Coturnix japonica: one gene and its partner. The protein of the gene in region 2 binds, or shares a complex with, the protein of the main gene of each other region. Links are inferred from orthologs where the notes say so. Each region holds a gene or a part of one and is shown on either strand. Other genes may lie near its edges.

The links.
Region 1: POLR1C (region 2) and POLR2E share a complex: the UniProt entries of both Homo sapiens proteins name them as parts of the pol I pre-initiation complex. The link is inferred for Coturnix japonica from reciprocal best matches to the Homo sapiens genes POLR1C and POLR2E.

The regions. Positions count from the first base shown.
Region 1 is NC_029543.1:2,008,937-2,013,157, forward strand, and holds POLR2E (DNA-directed RNA polymerases I, II, and III subunit RPABC1), read right to left. Parts: upstream 2,894-4,221; 5' UTR 2,815-2,893; coding exon 2,758-2,814; intron 2,685-2,757; coding exon 2,510-2,684; intron 1,821-2,509; coding exon 1,705-1,820; intron 1,433-1,704; coding exon 1,352-1,432; intron 1,205-1,351; coding exon 1,146-1,204; intron 996-1,145; coding exon 917-995; exon of another isoform or gene 669-916; coding exon 603-668; 3' UTR 590-602; intron 313-589; 3' UTR 16-312; downstream 1-15. UniProt on the Homo sapiens protein: DNA-dependent RNA polymerase catalyzes the transcription of DNA into RNA using the four ribonucleoside triphosphates as substrates.
Region 2 is NC_029518.1:27,798,765-27,802,901, reverse strand, and holds the start of POLR1C (DNA-directed RNA polymerases I and III subunit RPAC1), read left to right. Parts: upstream 1-1,318; 5' UTR 1,319-1,361; coding exon 1,362-1,430; intron 1,431-1,503; coding exon 1,504-1,575; intron 1,576-1,671; coding exon 1,672-1,779; intron 1,780-1,870; coding exon 1,871-2,003; intron 2,004-2,563; coding exon 2,564-2,683; intron 2,684-2,898; coding exon 2,899-3,051; intron 3,052-3,186; coding exon 3,187-3,336; intron 3,337-3,862; coding exon 3,863-3,979; intron 3,980-4,137. Other genes in the region: protein YIPF3, read right to left, coding at 584-629, 711-817, 892-1,098, 1,169-1,231. UniProt on the Homo sapiens protein: DNA-dependent RNA polymerase catalyzes the transcription of DNA into RNA using the four ribonucleoside triphosphates as substrates.

The sequences.
Region 1 (4,221 bases), on a different chromosome or scaffold from region 2:
TGCAGGGACAGTGAAGAACAGCAAAGAATACAAACCTTTATTAAAAATAAGATCTGAGAGAACAGGGCAGCAAAAGCCTCTTCCTGCTCATTTCTTCCCTGTGTCATTCAGTTGCTTCGAGGTGTTTTCATGGCGTTCCTGATTGAAGCAGAAGGATTTGCAGCAAAATCCGTGCTGGGAAATGAGGAACTGGGACAAGGAAAACAACTGCAGGGGGGCAGCAGGGACAGAGAACTTCCTCAGCCATCGAATGCAGACAGCTGAGAGCTGGTGGTGGGTGGGAAGATCAGATGTCACAGAATTCTTTCACAACTGGAAGAAATAAGTCAGGACGTGAATGAGCTCATGTCTCCCTCAGCAGCTGCTCTCAAAGCAAAGCCCTGCTGCTGCTCTGAACATTGAGATGTGCCTTCAGCTGTGATACTGAGGCACCAAACCCTAGTATAGCTTTGCTCTGATCCATCCCATACAGTTCCCTTCGCAAATCAGGAGGGAATCCTTTCCCAGAGCCAACTCACTTCAAGTCACCCCTAGAAAACCACAGCATAAGTTTAAAGCACTGCCCGTAGATGGGGATCTCACACATTACCTGAGAGCTCTGATCACTGCACCAGCCTGTAGGTGATGTAACGGCCTGCGGTCTCACTCGGTCTTATGATCTTCACCACCTGGAAGGGCAGCAAAAGGAGCAATGGGGGATGGCTGGTGTTACAGCAGCTGGTTCAGCAGGAAGCCAAGCCTGGCCCCAGGGCTATCTGCTGCCTTGCACACATCTCTACATAACCCATAACGTTCAGAAACAAAAACACTAACAAAGAGGAAACCTTTCCCATCTCCAAGCTCTGACACACTGTGCTGCAGCTCCCCATCCTGCCTGCAGGGCCCTGCTGTTTGTTATCAGGCTATTTGCTCTTACCTGGCCTCGCTTTATCCCGAAGTATCGGGCCACAGGATCCCCAGCCTGGATCCTGGGGAGTTGGTTCTCCCTCAGCTTACTGCATGGAGTCAAGGAGGAGCTCTGTGTCTGCTTGTCCTGAGGCAGGGCACAGCTAACAGAACATCACACACTCAAAGGAATCCATTTCTTGCCCAAGACAAGCACTCATCACACCCTGACTGCAAGGGAAGGACCAAACAAAGGATACTATCTGGCCAGCAGCTCGGTTACTTCTTCTTTTGTCATGACAACGTGCTCTGGGACCAGCTGTAAACAGGAGAGAGAAAGAGAGATCATAAGAGTCTGAGAAAGCAACCAGCTCTGCATAGCTGCAAGACTTGGGGGGAGGAACAAAGCTCTGGTGGGGAAACCCAGCACAGGGCAGGGCTGGGAGGGCCGGCCTGAATCACTCACCTCGTGTTCTGTGATGTTGATCAGGAGCTCCTGCTGTAAGAACTGCTCCAGGATGTATTTGGGAGCCATATCGACCAAGGACTGGGAAGGGAGAAGCACATCAGGTTGTAGCACTGATATGAGACAGTGTGAGCTCAGAGATGCCCCAAGATGAACAGCAGCAGGAGGGCAACACGGTGTCTGTGCTCACATTGATATGGTCATATGGGCAGAGAGGAAACAGATCTCTGTGCCCAACCAGCACCAGCTCAGTGCACTCAATGTATAAGCCCAGTATTAAGGCACAGAGCCTGAACTCTGCCTTTATGGACCCAGCACAGCTCAAAGAGCCCCGGGGCCACATCACACTGTACCTGCTTTGCCGATGGGGTCATTCCCTGCTGCACCACGATCAGAGCCCGCGTGATGTTCTCCTCCTGCATGCGCTGGCAATACATCTTGATGGTTTTAATGCCGACTTTGGGTTCCTCTGAGGGAGGAAAAGAGCAGGGTGAGATTGAACCAGGAGCACCACCAGACCCCAACCTGACCCCAGCCCAGTTCTAACCTGGTCCCAGCCCAGTACTAACCCGGTCCCAGCTCGGTTCTAAGCCAGTCCCAGCCCAGTCCCAACCCAGTTCTAACCCGGTTCCAGCCCGGTCCTAACCCGGTCCCAGCCCGGTTCTAAGCTGGTCCCAACCTGGTCCAAACCTGGTCCCAGCCCGGTTCTAACCCAGTCCCAACCCGGTTCTAACCCGGTCCCAGCCCGGTCCTAACCTGGTTCTAACCCAGTTCTAACCCGGTCCCAGCCCGGTTCTAACCCGGTCCCTACCTGGTCCTAACGCGGTCCCAGCCCAGTTCTAACCCAGTCCTAACCCGGTCCCAACCTCGTTCTGACCCGGTCCCAGCCCGGTTCTAACCCAATTCTAACCTGATCCTAACCCGGTTCCAACCTGGTTCTAAGCCGGTCCCAGCCCAGTCCCAACCCAGTTCTAACCTGGTTCCAGCCCGGTTCTAAGCTGGTCCCAACCTGGTCCAAACCCGGTCCCAGCCCGGTTCTAACCCAGACCCAGCCCAGTCCCAACCCGGTCCTAACCTGGTCCTAACCCAGTTCTAACCCAGTCCCAACCCGGTCCCAGCCCGTTTCTGACCCGGTTCCGACCCGGCCCCGTTTCTCACCGGGGAAGAACACGAACATCTGGTCCGTGGGATCATCGTTATGTGCCACCAACACGGTCAGGTCCGTTCGGCGCGGGCGGCCTTCGCTGGGTTTATCCCCGAACTGAGCTTTAAACTCCTCCAACGTCTGATCCAACTCGTCCTGAGTCACCAGGTAACCGCGGTCATGGCACAGCTAAAGGGAAATACAACATATGAGACCTGAAACCGGACCGAATCGAACCGAACCGAACCGGGCCGGCCCGCACCTGCATGATGGTCTTGCGGATCTTCCACAGCCGGTACGTCTCCTCCTCGTCGTCCATGTTGCCTCCTGAAGGACCCCACGAGGCTGCCCGCCTCAATGCCTGTCCACAACGAGCAGGCGGGGCTGCCCTGCGAGGGGTCCTTGACCGCGGGGAACGCTGGGAGATGTAGGCGGGGTGGAATGGCGGAAGGACACCACCCCCTTGTTGACACTGCAGCAGCCTCGCTGATTTGATTGGTGGTTTCGCCTGTCTATCACCCAAGGGAGCGGCTCGCATTGCGCAACTGCAAGAAGTGGGCGGTGCCTTCGCGCGTCCTAATCGCTGATTGGTCAAAGGGGGGGAGAGCGGTGGCGGGATGGGGTGGGGGTGGCGTTGCGGGCGGGCGCTGCTGTGCGGGGCGGCGGCGGCGAGAGGAGCGGGGCGGACAATGGTGAGTGGGGGGGGACAGAACAGAACCGAACCGAACCGAACCGGGTCGGTACTGGGGGGGTTGGGGGGGTTCGGAGCCGCTTTGTGACCGCTGGGCCCCGCAGTGCGCGCAGGCGGATGAATGGCGATCGGCCACCTCCATCTATGACTTCCACGCCACGGATATCGACGGCCGAGACGTGGCCTTGGAGCAATACAGGTCTATTAGATATATATATTATATAGACATTATATAGACATTATAGAGACATTATATGTACCATACAGCAACACAGCAATGGGCTGTATTATATACCCCCCCCCCCATTTTACCCCCGCAGAGGTTCCTTTTACCCCCTATTTTACCCCATTTTACCCCATTTTTACCCCCTATTTCACCCCTTTTACCCCCTATTTTACCCCATATTACCCCATATTTTACCCCATATTACCCCTTTTACCCCCACAGAGGTTCCTTTTACCCCCTATTTCACCCCCTTTACCCCCTATTTTCCCCATATTACCCCCACAGAGATTCCTTTTACCCCATTTACCCCCACAGAGGTTCCTTTTACCCCCTATTCTACCCCATTTACCCCCACAGAGGTTTCTTTTACCCCCTATTTTACCCCATTTACCCCCACAGAGGTTCCTTTTACCCCCTATTTTACCCCATTTACCCCCACAGAGGTTCCTTTTACCCCCTATTTTACCCCTCCAGGGGTTTCGTCTGCATCATCACCAACGTGGCTTCCAAATGAGGAAAGACTGCAGTGAATTACACTCAGCTTGTCGACCTGCACGCACGATACGCTGAGAAAGGGCTGCGCATATTGGCCTTCCCATGTAACCAGTTTGGGAAGCAGGTGGGCACCTCAATGCAAAGATATGGGGTTGTGTGGGGTTTACACGTGTGATACCTGTTTTTCCCCCCCCCCAGGAGCCTGGGGATGATGCACAGATCAAAGCCTTTGCGGAGGGTTACGGGGTGAAGTTCGATATGTTCAGTAAAATTGAGGTCAATGGGGACGGCGCCCACCCGCTGTGGAAGTGGAT
Region 2 (4,137 bases):
GTAAAGAGAGAGATGAGGCTTAGTTAGTGCTCCTGTCTTCCAGGCTCTCCACCCTGAGAGACATAACGAGCATCTTGGAGACTTTTATCACCCGAGGAGCATCTGCAAGGCCACTGCTGACAGAAGCCACACAGAACAGACTGTGATGAGTCAGAGTGGTGTTCAACAGGATGCAGAAATGGGCAAAGTGAGGTCTAGAGTTCTACAACTGTACCAGCGTTAAGGGTAGCAGGAAGGTAAAGGCAGCGCTGGCACAGGCTGTGCAGGGCAGCGGTCACAGCAGTGAGCTGGCTGGAGTTGAAGAAGCATCCGGACAATGATCTCAGCTATATGGTCTGATTTATGGGTGGTGCTGTATGGAGCCAGGTGAGCCTTATGAGTCCCTTCCAACTCAGGATGTTCTATGATTACAATTCTATGAGAATGGGGTTTGGAACAACCATAGGAAAGGGTTTACTGATACTTTGAGGGAGGTGAACATCTAACAGACTTGGATCCTTAATAACAGGCTAATTACATCTGAGGGGTCTCTGTGGAACAGTCACTCAGGCTGTGGGGTCTGGTTCAGTGAGAGAGAACTCACCTGTGGGAAACTGATCATCTTGACGGGCACCATGGACTCCAGCAACCTGCATTACGGCACAGCGGGGAACGACATCAGGACAGTCATTAAGAAGCAACAGATCCCGTGCACCCGCTGCCCTGCCCACCTGGTGCGCACTTGGACGGGCTCCACGTCGAAGTATGGCCGCAGGATGTCGATGTTGGCGTAGAGGCTGAACGCTTTGGACGCCTGTCGCTTCCCCACCTGCCACATCTGCGGACAGAACGGTACGTGCAGCGGCGGGGCCGGGGCCGGCGGGGCTGTTGGCGGCTCGTGAGCCCACTCACCTGGTCGGCCACCTGCCGGCCCAGCTGCCCCTGCAGCCCCTTCATGCCCAGGAACTCGCCGTCCTCTTCCCCGCCGGCCCCCGCCTCGCCCTCCGCCTCCTCGTCCTCCTCCTCCTTCATGCGCTGGTGCATCTCCCCCATGTCCTCGAAGCTGGAGCCCGACGTGTCGTCCATGTTCTCCATGTCGATGACGGCCGAGCCGCCGCCCTGCTCCGATGCACGGATCGTCAGCGCCCGCTCGGGCCCCTCTGTCCCCCCCCCCGCGGGCCGGCCCCACCTGCACGTTGTCCTCAAAGCCGCCCCACTCGGCGGTGCCGCTCCTGCCGCCCGCCGCGGCCATAGCGCCGGTAACGGGGGACGGCAACGCGGATGTGACGGTCCGGCCGCTCCGTGTCTCGCGAGAGCCGTCAGTTCCGCATGGCCGCCTTACGTGCGGCGGGGCGGGGCGGCGGCGCGTCCTTCCGTCGGCGATGGCGGCCCGGCGCGGCACGGACGAGATGCGGGAGCGCGTGGTGCTGGGCGAGTTCGGCGTCCGCAACGTGCGTGGGGCGGCGGGACGCGGGGCGGCTCCCGCATCACCCCCCGCTGCCTCACGGGCTGCGCCCCCCGCAGGTCCACACCACTGACTTCCCAGGCAACTACCCCGGGTACGACGACGCGTGGGACCAGCGGCGCTTCGAGGAGGTGAGTGGGAGCTGATGGAGATGATGGAGCTGATGGAGCTGCTGCTGCGGGGCCCCTTGTTCGGCTCCGTCGTGACGCGGCGCGGTTCCCGAGCAGGGGTTCCGCGTGGACGTGGTGCGGGAGGAGGACGGCGTGCTCGAGTTCGACATGGTGGGCATCGACGCGGCCATCGCCAACGCGTTCCGCCGCATCCTGCTCGCTGAGGTACCGCGGGGCTGGGAGACATGACGAGTGGATGGTCCCCGTGCGGTGCCCTGCTTGGCGGCTTATCGCCTCGCTCTGTCGTCCCCCCGAGGTGCCGACCATGGCTGTGGAAAAGGTGTTTGTGTACAACAACACGTCCATCGTGCAGGACGAGATCCTGGCGCACCGACTGGGCCTTATCCCCATCCGGGCCGACCCGCGGCTCTTTGAGTACAGGAATCAAGGTGAGGGGCTCGGGTCGAACAGCGGTGGGGAGGGTGGAGCCCATAACCAGGAGCTGGGGTCACACCGTAGGATCATGAAGGCCATCAGGTCCAACGATCCCACAACATACAGGGACTCCTACATCTGACCAGGTGCTCAGAGTCCTGCCCAGCCTGGCCTTGTAAGTCTGCAAGGACAGGGCATCAGCCGCATCTCTGGGCAGCCTGTTCCAGTGCCTCACCACCCTCATTTTCACCACTCTCACTCAGTAATAGACTTTTTCTTTATCTCTAAAGTAAATCTACCCTCTTTAAGCCTCAAACCGTTTCCCCTTCTCCTATCACAGCAGACCCTGCTGTAGAGTCTGTCCCTTTCTTTCTTGCATGCTCTTCCTAGGTGCAGAAAGGCCGCTTCCAGGTCTCCCTGCAGCTTTCTCTTCTCTAGGCTGAGCAGCCCCAGCTCTCAACCCATCCTCGTAGGAGAGATGTTCCATCACTGGGTCATTCATGTGTCCCTCCCCTGGATACACTTCAACAAAGCAGAATTCACTTCCATAAAGATACTGTTTTGCCATTTCCAGGAGATGAAGAGGGGACGGAAATTGATACTCTGCAGTTCCAGCTGAAAATAAAATGCAGCCGGAATCCTCAGGCAGCCAAGGAATCGTCTGACCCAAACGAGCTGTATTTCAATCACAAAGGTGAGAGCTCCTTGTGCCTGCCCTAAAAGTAGGTGCAGCTTTCTGCTTTTTCTCTTGTTCATTTTCTTCTTTCTCTCTCTTGGTGTTTTGCCTTGTGAGCAGAGACAGCTCATTTCCTCACAGTATACATAGCTTGCTTGTGCCATCTCCTATTCAGGTCAGCAACCTGTTTTCTGAGGCAGCAGCTGGCTGATGCTCGTGGTTTCTTTTGGCAGTGTACAGTAAGCACATGACATGGGTTCCCTTGGGGAATCAGACAGACCTCTTTCCGGATGCTGACTTCCGACCTGTCCACGACGACATCCTTATAGCACTGTTGAGACCTGGGCAGGAAATAGATGTGCTCATGCACTGCGTCAAGGGTGTAGGTGAGTGCTGGGTCTGAGCTGGGGAGTGGGTGTGCTGGTGCTTGGACTCGAGCACAGCTGTGTGATGGGAAACACTGGAGAACTAGCTTGACCCCAAGGCCTGTCCTCATCCTTAATTCTGAACTCTTTGTGCAGGTAAAGATCATGCCAAGTTTTCTCCTGTGGCCACAGCTAGTTATCGACTGCTTCCTGACATCACTCTCCTGCAGCCTATCGAGGATGAGGCAGCCGAGACGTTACAGAAGTGCTTTTCCCCTGGAGTCATTGAGATCCAGAACGTCAAGGGTACTTTCTTTCCAGCTGTAAAGTGCCTCGTTCCTAACAAGTCTTAGCAGTGACTGAATAGAGACAGTAGAGATTGTAGTCAAACCTTGTTGGGAAAATAACACATTGCGATGTTGTCTTGCTGATCAACAACAGTTGGTGCTGTTTTGAGCCTGGTTGTAGTGGCTGAGTGGCTGTCACACACAAATGTTTTTAGCAGTGAACTGAGATCTCCCTGAAATGCTTATGTGTTGCATGCCTGTCTGTAGAGCCCTGTGCTACTGTTAGGTGTCTGGGTAGCGAGCTTGCTCTTTGTAACAGCTGAGCACGGGGAGGACTTGTGTCCTGCCCAGGAGCACATACAGGCTTTGTGTTTGGCTTAGAACTGTTCGAGGAAATGAATTCTGCCAAGCTGGAGTTTCATGTTAGGGATGTGCTAATTATATGTGGCTTTGCTGCCTCTGCTGCTTGAGGGGTAAGTACTTTTTGTGACCCCAAGGTGCTCATCTGCTGCCGGTGCCCACCTTGTTTTGTCTTCTCCTTTTAGGAAAGAAGGTGGCAAGAGTAGCCAACGCACGGTTGGACACGTTCAGCAGGGAAGTCTTCCGACACGAGGGTCTGAAAAACCTGGTGCGCCTGGCCAGGGTGCGAAATCATTACATCTGTAAGTAGCCTGTTTTGTGCAGAGCAGAGTGCCCAGCCCGATTCTGCTTTGTACAAACAAGCAGGGGCTGGCCAGTGTGCATACCTTGGTCTCAGTCTTTCCCTTCTACTTGGCATCGTTATTCTTCCTATGTTTGTATTCCTCTGGGGAGCTACTGA